Coturnix japonica: one gene and its partners. The protein of the gene in region 3 purifies or fractionates together with the protein of the main gene of each other region. This does not show direct contact. Links are inferred from orthologs where the notes say so. Each region holds a gene or a part of one and is shown on either strand. Other genes may lie near its edges.

Region 1 (4,733 bases), on a different chromosome or scaffold from region 3:
TGTGCTGACACATATCCACTTAAGTACACACCCACTTGACCTGACGTGACTGCACATACCATAAAAGGAGAAACAACCCATTATCCTAATAAAATATTTGCTTATGTTTTATCAGTAGTTGTTTCTCTTCAAAGTGCAAAGTAGCAATTATTTAACAGTCAACGATGAATACACTGAGATAACTGCAATGATGCCATGTTGTAAGTTTTACTTTAAAAAACAGTCCTTTTCTAAGACATCTGCACCGAGAGCAACAAAGTAATAACATAAAATGTGAGTAAGAACCATAGAATCACTGAATATCTTGAGTAGAAAGAGATCCATAAAGATCATCAAACCCAACTCCTGGCTCCACGTGGTACCACCCAAAAAGCCGGCCCTATGTGTGAAAGCATTGTCCAAACACTTCTTGAACTCTGGCAAGCTTGGTATTACGCCCACTGCCTTCTTCACAAAGTGCTTTCAAAGCACCTCACTCAACGATCCTTCACGTGTCCCTTCCAAGCTGAGCTATTCTGTGACTCTCTGATAAGGTTATTGCTGCAGCTCCCTGGGTAGAGGGAACACCCTCCCCAAGGTCACAGCTGGCAAATGGAGCAGTCCGAGCTCTCAGCTTCACCATGTGGCACGTACTGAGGGCAGCACAGCAAGCAGCACTACATGAGAAAATGGCATTCTACTGCCTTCTAGGCTTTAAAAAACAATCAAGTGTTTATTAGTGAGTAGATAGTAAACGGGATAATGCCCTTAGTACTGTAGTGCCCGTGATGGGCACAAGCAGACGTGGGTTTTAGAGGTCACAATGGAGAAGACTGGGAGAGTCATTATGAAGGTAGATTCAAGCCATTTGGAAAATAAAATAATAATAATAAAAAGATAATTGATGTGGCCGCCTGGCCTTGCACGGCCCCTTTAACAAACAGATCTAGGAACTCCCATCCACATGAAAGGCCGCAGTCCTGGAGCCGGGCAGCCAAGGGCACAGGCTGCTAACGGCACGAGATGAGGAGGAGCCCGCGGAAGGAGGAAGCACGGCCCCAGGCGCGATATCTCGGCCTACCCGGGCGCGGTCACCTTGCGCTCACCTTGAGGCTCAGCGGTGCCCGGAGGCGGCGGGACCCGCCCGACACCGAGGCCCATCAGGCGGCCGAGCCGCCTCCGCCGGTGCGGCCCCGCCATCGCCATGGAAACGGGCGTCGGGCCGCGCCGGGGACGCGCTGACCTACACGCGCAGACAGCGGAGACCCGGCCCCACGCCTCCGCCCGCCGCCCCGCGCTCCCTCTGCCCTCCGTCCAGGATTGCAGCGGCCCTCACCCCACCGCCCAGCCCGGCCTCGCCCGGCCCCGCCCGTCCCGCGGCGCTCACCCGCAGCCGAGCCGCCAGGACGCAGTACGGCGCCATTTTGTGCACTGACAAAGATGAAGTCGCGCCCCGATGGCGTCAGTCCGCCCTTTTGATACCTCTGGCGCGGGAGGAGGCTGAAGGGGGCGGGGTCCAGCGGGTCCTGGCAGGGAGGTACCGGAGGAGAGAGCGGCGTTCCCATGGCGGGGGTACGGGCGTTCCCCGCGTTGAAGGGAGCAGCGAGGCGGATTGGGTTTGAAGCACCATGCGGAGCTCGGTTACGGGTCGGTGTCCCCTCCCGGAGCGCCGCTTTGTCGGACGCTCTCCACACCCCTGACAGGACCGGGACACGGCGGCAGAGCACCGAGAAGTGTCGCCGGCGCCATGGCCAAGCACCATCCGGATCTCATCTTCTGCCGCAAGCAGGCGGGCGTCGGTGAGTACCGGCGCGGTCGTGGCCCTCCGCACCTTGACGGTGGGCTCGGGCGGCAGTTCGAGCCCGTTAGGTGCCCGTTAGGTGCCCGTCAGGCCCCTCGCGCAGCTCCTCGTTCTTCCCTCGGCCCTCTGAGCTCGGGGTTCGTGGCGCTCCCCGAGGCCGCAGGGATGTGGTTGGGGATCGCGATGCGGCGCTGAGTGCGGGTTTCCTTATGGCCGGTGGGAGCCGTTGGCCGGACACCGTGCGGAGGGACTGTGGGCCGGGTGGGTGTGCCCTGAGGACAGGCGTCGCTTGTATTTGCGTTCTAAATGTAGCCTCAAGTAATATGTGTTTTTTCGCATTCTTTTTCCCCTTACAGCAATTGGAAGGCTTTGTGAGAAATGTAAGTACATCTTCTGCGTGTAGTTGTTTGAGAACCCAACTCTGTGGTAAGTGCCTGCAGCTCGGTTTCTCTTTTTGCTCTGCTGCTGACTTGGGGTCACAACCAAATAGAAATAGCAGGTAACTGCAGCTTGGGCTGGGAGGAGTGACCTGTGTGTTGGCCTGAGTGTATGGAGCAAGTGCGAGAAAAAGACCGCACAGCTTCCCTTCAGCATCTGTTAGAATGGGAAATGGATGGAAAAAAGTGCTACAGCAGATGAATATGCAAAAACAAATATCTATGCAACCTACTGCAAGGAACCTGCTTTGGCCAAAGTGTTGGACTTGATTCCTGGAGATCCCTTCCAACCCCTATAATTCTGTGCTCGTGCTCACCTATAGCAGAAAAGAATAAGCACAATTGGTCATTAGATCCTTGCAGGAGCTCAGTACAAGTAAGCCAGCTATTTCTAGGCTCCAAAAAATGTTAAAAACAAGCGAAGTGAGGAGAAGCACAGTCTGAAGCAACTGAACTGTTTTCAGAAGTACACAGAAGTTAAATGGATTCCCAGTGGTAGTAGCTGAGGGCAGTTGGGACTGAGATTGAAGAGCAGGTTAAATGAGCTGTTTGTGAGAGTCAGGATTAAATACCTTGGGAACTGGTAATAAGATCTGAAGCCTTTCATCTGGAGGTCAGAGTTTTGGATCGGGGCCCGCAGAGCAGAGACTGTCCATGGCATCTGATGGCTGTTTGCCTGTATGATAAGAGCACTTGTATTTCTCTCAGTCCCTTGTGAGAAAGCAAGAGCAACTCTGTGAAGTGGCAATTTATGCCGGTTTGCCCTTTTTTTGGCCTTGGATATGGCTGGCTGTTGGCCCTCGTTCCTCTGAAGTCTGTGTAAATATAAAGTTGCACCTTGTGCCTGTAAGCTAAAGTTCTGCAGTCTAACTGCGTTGTCTTTGAGCATACAGGCAAGTTCTTTGTCCAGCAGACTTTTCCTCTTTTATGTGGGGTGGAGAAAAGGACGTTCTGTAACCAAAGACTGCTGTACTTGCAGGTGATGGCAAATGTGTGATCTGTGACTCGTACGTGCGGCCCTGCACCCTGGTGCGCATATGTGATGAGTGTAACTACGGCTCGTACCAAGGGCGCTGCGTCATCTGCGGGGGCCCAGGGGTGTCTGATGCCTACTACTGCAAGGAGTGCACCATCCAGGAAAAAGATGTACGTTGTCATCCAGTCTCCTGTAGAATTGCTTATGTCTTTGTTTAATAGCTATGCTTATCTTTAAAGGGACTTAGAGCAAGTGATATTAATGTTAGGACATTGGATGCTTGGGTTCCTCTCCCAGAACTGGCACTGGTTTTCATTTCCTTGCATGTTTCTTTTTCTGTCGGTGGTTCCCAGTGTTTGTGGAGCACTTTGAGGTAGCGAGCAGTGCCTCGATTCTGTATCCCATAGGATCCTTGTGTGCTTTACGATGCATACTCACAGTTCACTTCCTCCACGCTCTGCTTGTTACCACTTTCAGCTGTTATCTTACTAAATCTCTCAGCCAAAGTTTTATCAGCAGCAGAGACACTTTAGACGTTGCAAAGGCAGTGGCAGGATCAGCTTCTTACTGTGTCCGTGATCATACCATACATGGTATGATCATGCCACTGGCATATATGGTACCATAAGGCCTACAGAATCACCACCCATGTTTACTTTTGTGTTACAGTAAAATTAGCCCTTAGTGTCCTTCGTCCTTTGACAAGGCAGATGCTCGCTCTCTAGGTATTCAATAATATCCATCATAGTGAGGGCAAGTCATGAAGAACTGCCAATGAAGTAGTAGAAAGACTGTAGGGAAATGCAAGAACGTGATGCTTGCGGTTGCAGTGTGTCAGAGTATGGACCCAATGGAGAGTATCGGCTGTGTGGTTTTGGGGCTGGATCCTTTGCAAACACCATCTCCAGCACACCCTGATGTCAGCAGAGTGTGCTGACAAACAGCTCTGATTTAGAGGAATGTACTTAGCTGACTGAGCTGCTGCTTTAATTTTCTGCAGCACCCATATTTTCTCTAGAGGTCTTGCAGGGCAAGCCCGTGTCTGAATTTAGTCAGTAGATCTGGCGGGAGCACCATCTTTCTTAGTATCTAAGTATTATATGTGGATAGAAATGCTGTTGGTGGTACTGCCTTCTACATCTAGAAGTGCTGTGACAAGCAGTAGTTTTGTTGTCTTGTCTGTGGGACCAAAGAACTTGTTTGGCAGTTTATCAGTTAAATAGACCAATTCATATTGATTCCTAATAGGTATTTTTCGTGCTCTAGTCTCATCTGTAGGTTCAGATGTAGAGCAGCTCGCTGCTCTGGAAGGGAGGGTTATAGAGAATATAGAGCTGGAGGAGCAGATAGCAAGTCAGAATTGAGGTATTTTGATAGCTGGATGAAATCTTCTATAGAAGACCATTGATGTGTACCAGCAAACTTGCATATTAGGAACTATTGCAAATGTGAATTTGCAGATCTAAAAGAGCAAGAACGCTCAGAGTAAGAACAGCCAAAGGTGGTACACATCACAATTATGATAGCTGGTGCTGACCTA
Region 2 (4,527 bases), on a different chromosome or scaffold from region 3:
AACATGACAGGATTTTGTTTCCTATTTATTAAATAAAATGCCACAATGCCTTCAGCCAAAGTTCCTGAGGGTATCTACTGAAATGCAGCTGCTGTGGGGCACAGACACTGACACAATATGCATGGAGATAAAGAAGCCATGTCTTGTACTGAAGGCCAAAATGAAACAGAGGGGAAAAAAACTGAGTTATACATCCAGTGGGTGACTTGTGAGCAATAGTATATTGCTCTGCCATAATAGAGATGGCAGAGCACAATAAAAGGGAAAGAGAGACTGAAGCAATGCCACCATCTCCCATATGACTACAGTAAGAACTGACAGAGACTGAGACGTACTGATCTATTATTAAAATGGCTCTCACTCGACTGTCAGCAATAAAGAGACAACCCATGGGTAATTTAAACAATAAAGGACATCAGGAGATAAGCCCATATCTTATTTATGGATAGCTCTGCTAAAAAGGCTGATGAACAATTCATGCCCACAGCACTGCACTTCAAGCAAGCTCCAGCAGCCACGGGGTATCTGCTATGACAGGCACTGCTGACAAACCTTTGTAACCTGGTCGTCCAATTTTCACAAACTTCTTCACTTCCACTTTGACTTTTTCTGGTGCAGGTTGGGCAGGAGCTTCCTTTGCTTCCTTGGCAGCTCGACGAGCCCTGGGTTCATTGGAAACGCGCAGTGTTAAATGGTTATCAGCACTTGGTTCTGAAGGATACTCTAAAAGGCAGAGTGAGTTCTGTATGACGGAGCATTCAGCACTTCACAGAAAGCATAATGGGAAACTGCTGCTCCTCCTCCACAAGCACCATGGGAGGCCAGTTCCACTCCTTGCCTTGACTACAATCTGTCACCTCCATCACCTCACCCACTCCTAAGAGGACTTTGATGTCCAGCTCCACAGATGGAGCTGAGATGACTTCTTAAAAGTCAAAAAGGAAATGAATTACACAAGCCAGGTATCTAAAGCAGAGCAAACCTGAATTCTTAGATTAAAGCTTACAAACTTTTCTCAAGCTGTATTCATAAAACAGCTTCCCTTACAGTTATACTTAATCTAAATGCCATAGCTGGCTTTGAAGTGGAGCTTGTCAGCACCACTGTTCAGAGCAGAGCTGGTGAATGCCTAGGAAACAAACAGAGACAAAGAGCATTCAAGCCCAGAGTGCTACTACATGATGGAGGCCAAGATTTATAGGTGCTCATTATCTAATTTTAATGTGCCCAAGTAATGGAGAATAACACGGTGGAGAATGACTTACAGATTGGTCTGATGCTTCTTCCCCTGCGTATGTGCCAGGTAACTTCCCTGGGGGGAAAAGAAAGTTATGAAGACTGAACTGTTCCTGAACAGAAAGATATTTGTCACAGATGAGAGGTGACATTTCACACTGACAAAGATATTTTAATCCTCAGAGCACAGCAGAATCAAACTCACAAATTTCAGATTGCTCACAACTGCTGAACTGTCAGAAACTTGTCATGCTTAACACACACAGCCTCTGCTCCCCCCATTGGCCCTCCAGCAATCAGCCAACGGGAACAGCTTCGGTTCCAGCACTTGGAGCTAGAATTAGTCTAAAATATCTGCTGCCATGGAGATCAAGACAGACAGCTGCTCAACTCACCTCATTGTTATGGAGCGTCAGGCAAAGCTTGCATTCATAAGAACCCAAGTGATTTTTCATAAAATAGGGGTCCTAGGAAGAGAAGGATTGAAAAGTTACATGTAAAATCTGCATTGGAACAACTGAACAACCGAGATTCTAAAGCAGAGCTGCACTGTAAGAACTCTATGAGCTCATGGAGTGAAGGGATCAGCACAACACTGCTTTAGGAATATAGAGAAAAAGGAACAAGAGCAGTTGTGTTCACTGGTAACAGCACACCCAACTGCAGCATAATAAGAACCAGTGCCAAGACTGAACATAACAGAAGCCCAGTGCTGGTATCCCTCTGCTTGGCCCTTCCACATGTTGCTCGAGTCCCTCATCAGTGGGAACAGAAGTATTTATTCCACTCCACAGATCCCCACTAAACCTCTCACTCTCTGCTGAGATGAAGCCCTGACCTCACCCCATGTAGCCTGCAGGACTGGGGCTCACCTTGTTGATGTCAATGGTCTCCAAAGCCAGTTGCCGAAGCCTCTCCCTGCGGTCTCGGTTGCTTTCTGAGGCTGAAGCTACGCCTCCACTCCCCGTTTTACCTCCAGGACGGTGCTGAAAATCCATGGTGGGGATTTCTGGGCTTTGGAGACTTCAGGAGAAAAATAAAATAAAAGTCTGGAAAAATGAAGAAAAGACACATAAGTGACAACACAGCCCTAAGCTGGGCCTCGCATTGAGCCCTGCCACGAGGACACGGCCCAGGCACTGCCATTACCTCAGCAAGAGACAAAACCACCCCCAGCCCACCTCTACCCTCTCACACAGGGTCACACACCCCCCAGCCACTAACATGGGGGTCACAACCCCCCAGACACCCCCTCACCCCCCTCTAAACACCCCCATTCCCTCAGCGAGCACCAAAGCTCACCTCAAAGCCCCCTACAAACACCCCCCGAACTCTCCATGCCACTTATAGCCCCCCAGTTTCCTTTTGGAGGGTCCTGTCCCTCCACTAAGAACCCCTCTAAGCCCCCTCACCCCCCTCATTCTCCAGTGCAGGTCACAGGCTCCATAGGTTCCATAGGCCCCACAGGCTCCATAGGTTCCATAGGCCCCACAGGCTCCATAGGTTCCATAGGCCCCACAGGCTCCATAGGCCCCACAGGCTCCATAGGCCCCACAGGCTCCAAATAGGCCCATATGCCACAGCCTCTATAGGCCCCATAGGCTGCACATGCCCCATAGGCCCCACAGCCTCCACAGCCCCCACAGGTTCCATAGGCCTCACAGGCCCCACAGGTTCCATAAGCTCCATAGGCCCCACAGGCTCTATAGGCCCCACAGGCCCTTATTCCCTTAGCGACGGTCACTGCCCCGAAACAATCCCCCACAGGGCCCAAGACCCCCCTCCAGACCACCCCATCCCCTCAATGAGGGTCTCACTCCCCCATATCCCCCCTTTAAGCCCCACATCCCCTCCCCCTAAATCCCCCATACCGCCGTGCTCAGCCCCGCTCCCGGCGCATGCGCTCTGCCCTCCCCCTTCCATCCCCTCTAGTTCCGGATAGAGCACTACCGGGTCGGGTATGGGTGGTTGTAGGGTTGGGGTGGTTGTAGGGTTAGGGGTGGTTTGTAGGGTTGGGGTGGTCGTTTGGGGTCCGACATGAGGTACAACGAACGGGAGCTTGCTGTCCTGTCCAGGCAACCGGCAGAGAAAGCGGCAGAGATCCATGATGAGGGTCCCCAAGAAGGGGCAGCGGTAGAGGGGGGGGTGGGAAGGGGGTGAGGGTGGAAGATGGGGGGGTTAATTGGGGGTGGGAATGGGGAGTGATGGATTGAGGTGTGGGATGGGGGTAATGGGGTGGGGGTGGGATGGGGTGGGGTAATGGGATGGAAACTGGGGGTATTGGGATGGGGCTGTTGGAATTGGGGGTGCTGGGGCAAGAGCTGGGGTGTTGGGATGGGGGTTGTTGGATAGAGCTGGAGGTGTTGGGATGGTGGTAAGGGATGGAATTGGGGTAATTGGGATGGGGGTATTGGGAATGGAACTGGGGTATTGGATGGGGTATTGGCATAGAGCCTGGGGGTGTTGGGATGGGGGTATTGGGATGGAACTGGGGGTATTAGGATGGGGCTGTTGGAATGGGGGTGCTGGGGCAGAGCTGGGGTTTTGTTTGGGATGGGGTATTGGGATGGGGGTATTGGATATGAGCTGGGGGTGGGATGGGGATGGGGGTGTTGGGGTGATAGGATGATGGGATGGGGGTAATGGGATGGAACTGGGGTTATTGGGATGGGGGTAATGGGATGGGGGTATTGGGATAATGCTGGGGGTGTTGGGGTGGGGACAGGAGTATTGGGATGGGGGTAATGGGATGGAACTGGGGGTATTGGGATGGGGGTGTTGGGATAGAGCTGGGGGTGTTGGGATGGTGGTAATGGGATGGAATTGGGGGTATTGGGATGGGAGTACTGGGTCAGAGCTGGGGGTGCTGGGATTGGGGTATTAGGATGGAGCTGGAGGTGCTGGGATGGGAGTATTGGGATGGAAGCACAGGGATCAGAACGGTGTACTGGGATAGGAGCGCTGGGATGACAATGGAAGTCCTGGGGTGGAAGCACTGGGATGGAAATGGAGATGCTGGGAGTGCTGGGATGGTTTGGGGGCCCCACACACGCTGGGCTCGCTGTCACATCACTCCTTTCCTTCTTCAGTGTTAAAGAAGCGCCTCGTGAAGCTCGTGGTGAACTTTCTCTTCTACTTCAGGACGGATGAAGCTGAGGTTCGGATCCTGCTGCTCCTCACACACACACAGATACACACACGCACCTTTTTGCTTCACGTTTATCACGTGTGCTCTGTGGATCAGTGCAACACGGCGTCCTCCCTTCCCCCTGCACAGTTCAGGCTCCTCGG
Region 3 (4,735 bases):
GCTTATAGAACACCCCGAGTTGGAAGGGATCCACAATGATCACAGAGTCTGAAAGAGGATGTTTCCTCAGAGCTGTGCTGCTGTGGGCTCGTGCATCTCACAGCTTTTCACAAGTATCAGAGGATCAGTGGGACTGAGCCAGATGATTTATCACACACTGATTCCTTCTGCTGCTCTGGGATCCCCCTGTTGTTCTCGGGCCAAACCAGAGGTCAGAAATGGGGCGAAATGCTTCTGGCTTCTGCCACTTTGCTCATCAAATAACAAACTTCCATTGCTGTTGTCATGTCCCAGTCCCAGCCGGGAGCACCGTGTCAGCTCTGGCACTCAGCTCTGCCGTGGTATATTTAGATGCACTGAAATGCTGAATTTACCCTTATCCTTGGCACAAACTATGAAAGCACAGCCTGGCTGAGGTAGTGCAATTGAAGATGACCAATCCCCAGCAGTCTGTGCTTTCTGCTGCCTTCCAGCCCACAGGGAAAGAGAAACAAATCCTCCGTGTCGAGTTCATACAACGACATCAGCTCCCAGTGTTTCCCAGGGCTCCGACTCCCTCAGAAATCATTCCTGGAAAGCAATAACATTCAGATTATTTATCTAAGCTATTGCTTGGAGCTATTAAAGCCTCTCAGCCGCTGGTATGCACAGAGGATCAAAGTGTGCCTCTACCAGATAAACGAATACAATTTATTAAAGCACATTTCTTCATTGTCTCTTGGCACCAACAACTCAACTCTAACAGCTGGATCTTAGTGCAGCCTGAAGCCCCGCTCGCAGTTTGGCTGTGAGGCTGCATCCACAGCAATCTTAAAAACCACCACTTGGACTTTCCAGTACAAAGGAGCTTTCCAGAGCTCGTGTACAGCATCTGAAACCAAGAACTGCTCTGTTACAACCCCATTACAACCCCTAGAGCTGAGCAATACAGTGTGTTGTGCTATAGGAGGAAGGTCCGCATTCAGGTGGCTCTGAGACGCCTCCAGCTGTGTTGGGCTGTGCACAGGGAAGCAGTTCCCTCTGCTGACCGAAGTGCTGCAGCGCTTCAACTGCGACCACACCAGAATTGGGCACAAGGACAACTTTTATTTATTTATTTTTTATTTATTTAAATTGGCTCTTATTTACAATGATGCACTGGCACGGGTTGCCAAGACAAGCGATGGATGCTCCCCTCTACAACACCCAGCGCTGTCCCTTCTAACCCAACCACGCTGTGATTCCATGATTCTGATTTCTATGCGCTTTCCTTCCAGCTCGACAGCTCAGAAAAGCCACCTCTATACAGCCCCTCCCGGCCGCCATTTTGTGGAGGAGGGGCTGCAAGAGGACGGCCCTCTTCCTCTCGGCTATGCTCGGCTGTGTTCGGCTGTGTTCGGCTGTGCTCGGCTGTGTTCGGCTGTGTTCGGCTGTGTTCGGCTATGTTCGGCTGTGTTCGGTTGTACTCGGCTGTATTCGGCTGTGTTCGGCTGTTCTCGGCTGTACTCGGCTGTTCTCGGCTGTACTCGGCTGTGTTCGGCCTCGCTCGGCCGTGCGGCGCGTTGTGGGCTCGGTGCGGCCTGTGTGTCCGGGCGGGATGGTGAAGCTGACGGCGGAGCTGATCGAGCAGGCGGCTCAATACACCAACGCCGTGCGAGACCGAGAGCTCGACCTGCGGGGTGAGATGGATCTGCCGGGAGGGAGCCGGGCCTGGCTTTGTGGGGGGGGATCGGGAGCGGGCCTGTGTGGGGCCTGCGCTGAGGGGAGGCGTGGGGCCTGCACTGGGAACGGGCCGTGCAATGGGGGGGGTCGTTCTGTGTGTTAAATGCCTCTTTCATGTGTCCCCAGAGCTCCATCCCATCCTGCTTTATTCCCTTCTCACGTTTCTTTTCCCCCCCACAGGGTATAAAATCCCCGTCATTGAGAATTTAGGGGCTACGTTGGATCAGTTCGATGCGATTGATTTCTCGGATAATGAGATTCGGAAATTGGATGGGTTCCCTCTGTTGAGAAGGTTGAAAACTCTTCTGATGAATAACAACAGGATTTGGTACGTGGTTGTGTTGTGATCAGTGTTGTGATCAGACGGGACCTGGGGCAGAGCAGAGTGAAGAAGGGAAAAGAAGCGTGCCCGTGTCTTTTAATACCTGATAGGTGTAAAAATATCTGCTTTATGGGGAAGAAATAGCGCTTGGTATTTGCTTCAGCCTTCAATTAGCCGGCTTTGTTCATTGCAAAGTTCTGCCCCAGCTCTGTGTTCCATTTTCATACAGGACAATGAGATGCAGGGCCTGGAGTTTGTGTTGGGTCCTTGGGGGTTGTTCACTACCCCCATAGTGATGCACAGACAGGGGTGCCTGCAGCTGAGTGAACAGAGCTACCTTGCTGCACCTGGTGCCCTTACAGTGGCAGCTGCTGTTTTATGTTGGCTTTGTTACAAAGCTGATGCTCACCCAAACTTCTGCTGCTGTCATACTTGGCTGTGTTTAAGTGAGGTGCTCTATGTTGGCATGGCTGCCCAGGGAGGTGGTTGGAGTTGCTGTCTCTGTAGGTGTTCCAGAGCCATGGAGAGGGGACAGAGGTGGCCCAAAATGCTTTCAGCTGTGTTGGCCACAGACAGGTTTATTGGGCATGGTGGGGATGGGCTGAATGATCTCTGAGATCTCTCCAGCCTTAATGATTCCGTGATTTTTAATATATCTGTGTCTGTGTCCACCATTGTTAATTTCCAGCCAAAGGTAAAATCTTTGTGTTTTTATTCTTCTGTAGTCGGATTGGGGAAGGACTTGAACAAGCTCTGCCCAGTCTCACAGAGCTGGTTCTTACCAACAACAACATTTCTGAACTGGTAAGTTAGTGATGCAGAATAAATCTTGACAGCTCTAATGTTTTTGTCCTCTTTCTAATTAGTCGTCTTCTTCAGGAGCTTCATTCTGAAATATTTGATTGTCGTGAAATGGATTTAAGATTCTTACTCTGTTCTTCCATTATATAGGGTGAACTGGATCCATTATCAAGTATTAAAACATTGACTTACCTGAGGTGGGTAATCTTGAAAAGAAAAGCAGCGGCTTGTTGTGATATATTTCAATATATTCAATACATGAAGTAACTCTTTGTGACCTTTATTTGCCTCGTAGCATTTTAAGGAACCCAGTAACAAATAAGAAGCATTACAGATTATATGTTATCTACAAAGTTCCCCAAGTCAGAGTGCTGGATTTTCAGAAAGTGAAACTCAAAGTAAGTCTGTTACCTTCGGATTGAACACCAGATGGAGACCTTTTCTCCTATTAACTCATAGAACTGTAGTGAAATCAGTAAAGCTTTTTGCCCCAGCTGTAAATGGCAGTGGAACAGTTTGTCCTATGAGGCTTTAAAGCTGGTGCTTCTCTTTGATGGTTTCACGCCGTTAAGGATGTAATCTGCTTTATTGTTTTTAATTGATGTTTCACTGCTGTTGTTTGTTTAGTCTGATTCTTTTCTGGCTGGCCGGTGTTGGTGGTGATAAGGGGAACGTAGAGAAAGGAATGAGGGATCAGAGCAGAGCCCTCTGCTTGGGGCTGTTGCTTCTAAGAGCACTGAAGTGCTACACCTCGAGTTGGAGTGTTTGTGCAATGTGTTTGTGCTTGTCCTGGGCTCCTCATGCTGATGTTCACTGAAGATGAGCCAAAGCATCTTTCTTTGCAAAGAGCAGCTCTGCGAAATGCTACATCCTTCCATTAACTTTGTATGTGTGGTATCGCTGTAGGAGCGACAGGAGGCAGAGAAAATGTTCAAGGGCAAACGGGGTGCACAGCTTGCAAAGGATATTGCCAGGAGATCAAAAACGTAAGATAAAACAAACGCTTGCACTGGCGTTCTCCTTCAGAAACACCACGTTGTGTGCGGCACCGAACTGAGACGGCCCTGGTTGTTTGGATGGTGGTGAACACATCTGAGATCTTTATGGTAGACCCGTTTGGTCAGGGTGGATCGGGATATAGCAGTAAACAGGGAACTCTGTGTTATTTTACTGCAGAGAGGGGGCTGTGGTTTGCTTGGTTTTGCTCTCTATAGTGACTGGGAACTGAAAAATCTATTGATCACATTGAGGGTGCTCAGTGAGTGCTTAGAACTGTTATCAAATGTGCTCTCGCTGTGGTTAATGAGTGGAAATGGCCCATGTCTGTGATGGCTTTTGAACAAGTGAATCAATGAATCAAACACCCAGTTCACATCCCAAATACACGCAGGACAGGGCGCAGGTCTGTGAAGCTGGGTCACATTTAGGCAGCTCTTTCAAGCTGTGACTTCCATTTCCATAGACAACAAACGTCTGCTGTCCTTTAAGCAGCAGCAGGTAACTCACAAGGAACTTCCACCATTCATTTTACATAGGCTGTCCCAGTATCCTGTGAGATACTGAAATCCAATTCCATTCACTCTGCTTTGTGTGATGGTTCAACAACATCCAAATCCAACAGCTTTCATCAGCCGCTTAATTCTAAGGTGCCAGTCTGCCTCATTATGAGCAGATGAAAAGATCTGGGGGGGGGGAAGGGGATGGGACAGTGAGGACAAATCCAAGCGGTTGGTGTTTCTGAAGGAGGCCATTCATCACTGTATCAGTTTGTTAACAAAGAGAAGATACTACACTTGATTGATTGAAACGCTTCCAAACCTGCTTTGGAAGTGAGAGAAGCACACGTTGCTCCCAGATATTAACGATCCCTCTTTGCTTTTATCCCTCTGCAGCTTCAATCCAGGCGCTGCT

The links. The genes of interacting proteins can lie anywhere in the genome.
Region 1: the proteins of SNRPA1 (region 3) and PHF5A purify together in Homo sapiens (affinity purification with mass spectrometry; 4 studies listed by BioGRID and IntAct, with this or other methods). This does not show direct contact. The link is inferred for Coturnix japonica from reciprocal best matches to the Homo sapiens genes SNRPA1 and PHF5A.
Region 2: the proteins of SNRPA1 (region 3) and SF3A2 purify together in Homo sapiens (affinity purification with mass spectrometry; 8 studies listed by BioGRID and IntAct, counting the BioPlex papers as one, with this or other methods). This does not show direct contact. The link is inferred for Coturnix japonica from reciprocal best matches to the Homo sapiens genes SNRPA1 and SF3A2.

Annotation. Positions count from the first base shown.
Region 1 is NC_029516.1:45,262,962-45,267,694, forward strand, and holds the start of PHF5A (PHD finger-like domain-containing protein 5A), read left to right. Parts: upstream 1-1,569; 5' UTR 1,570-1,726; coding exon 1,727-1,778; intron 1,779-1,894; exon of another isoform or gene 1,895-1,989; coding exon of another isoform or gene 1,990-2,041; intron 2,042-2,136; coding exon 2,137-2,160; intron 2,161-3,196; coding exon 3,197-3,363; intron 3,364-4,733. Other genes in the region: ACO2 (aconitate hydratase, mitochondrial), read right to left, coding at 1,367-1,402.
Region 2 is NC_029543.1:1,224,251-1,228,777, forward strand, and holds the start of SF3A2 (splicing factor 3A subunit 2), read right to left. Parts: upstream 3,165-4,527; 5' UTR 3,108-3,164; intron 2,286-3,107; 5' UTR 2,235-2,285; coding exon 2,109-2,234; intron 1,704-2,108; coding exon 1,632-1,703; intron 1,313-1,631; coding exon 1,266-1,312; intron 663-1,265; coding exon 553-662; intron 1-552. UniProt on the Homo sapiens protein: Component of the 17S U2 SnRNP complex of the spliceosome, a large ribonucleoprotein complex that removes introns from transcribed pre-mRNAs.
Region 3 is NC_029525.1:15,973,253-15,977,987, reverse strand, and holds the start of SNRPA1 (U2 small nuclear ribonucleoprotein A'), read left to right. Parts: upstream 1-1,477; 5' UTR 1,478-1,576; coding exon 1,577-1,658; intron 1,659-1,881; coding exon 1,882-2,029; intron 2,030-2,748; coding exon 2,749-2,827; intron 2,828-2,974; coding exon 2,975-3,021; intron 3,022-3,119; coding exon 3,120-3,222; intron 3,223-3,730; coding exon 3,731-3,810; intron 3,811-4,716; coding exon 4,717-4,735. UniProt on the Homo sapiens protein: Involved in pre-mRNA splicing as component of the spliceosome. Associated with sn-RNP U2, where it contributes to the binding of stem loop IV of U2 snRNA.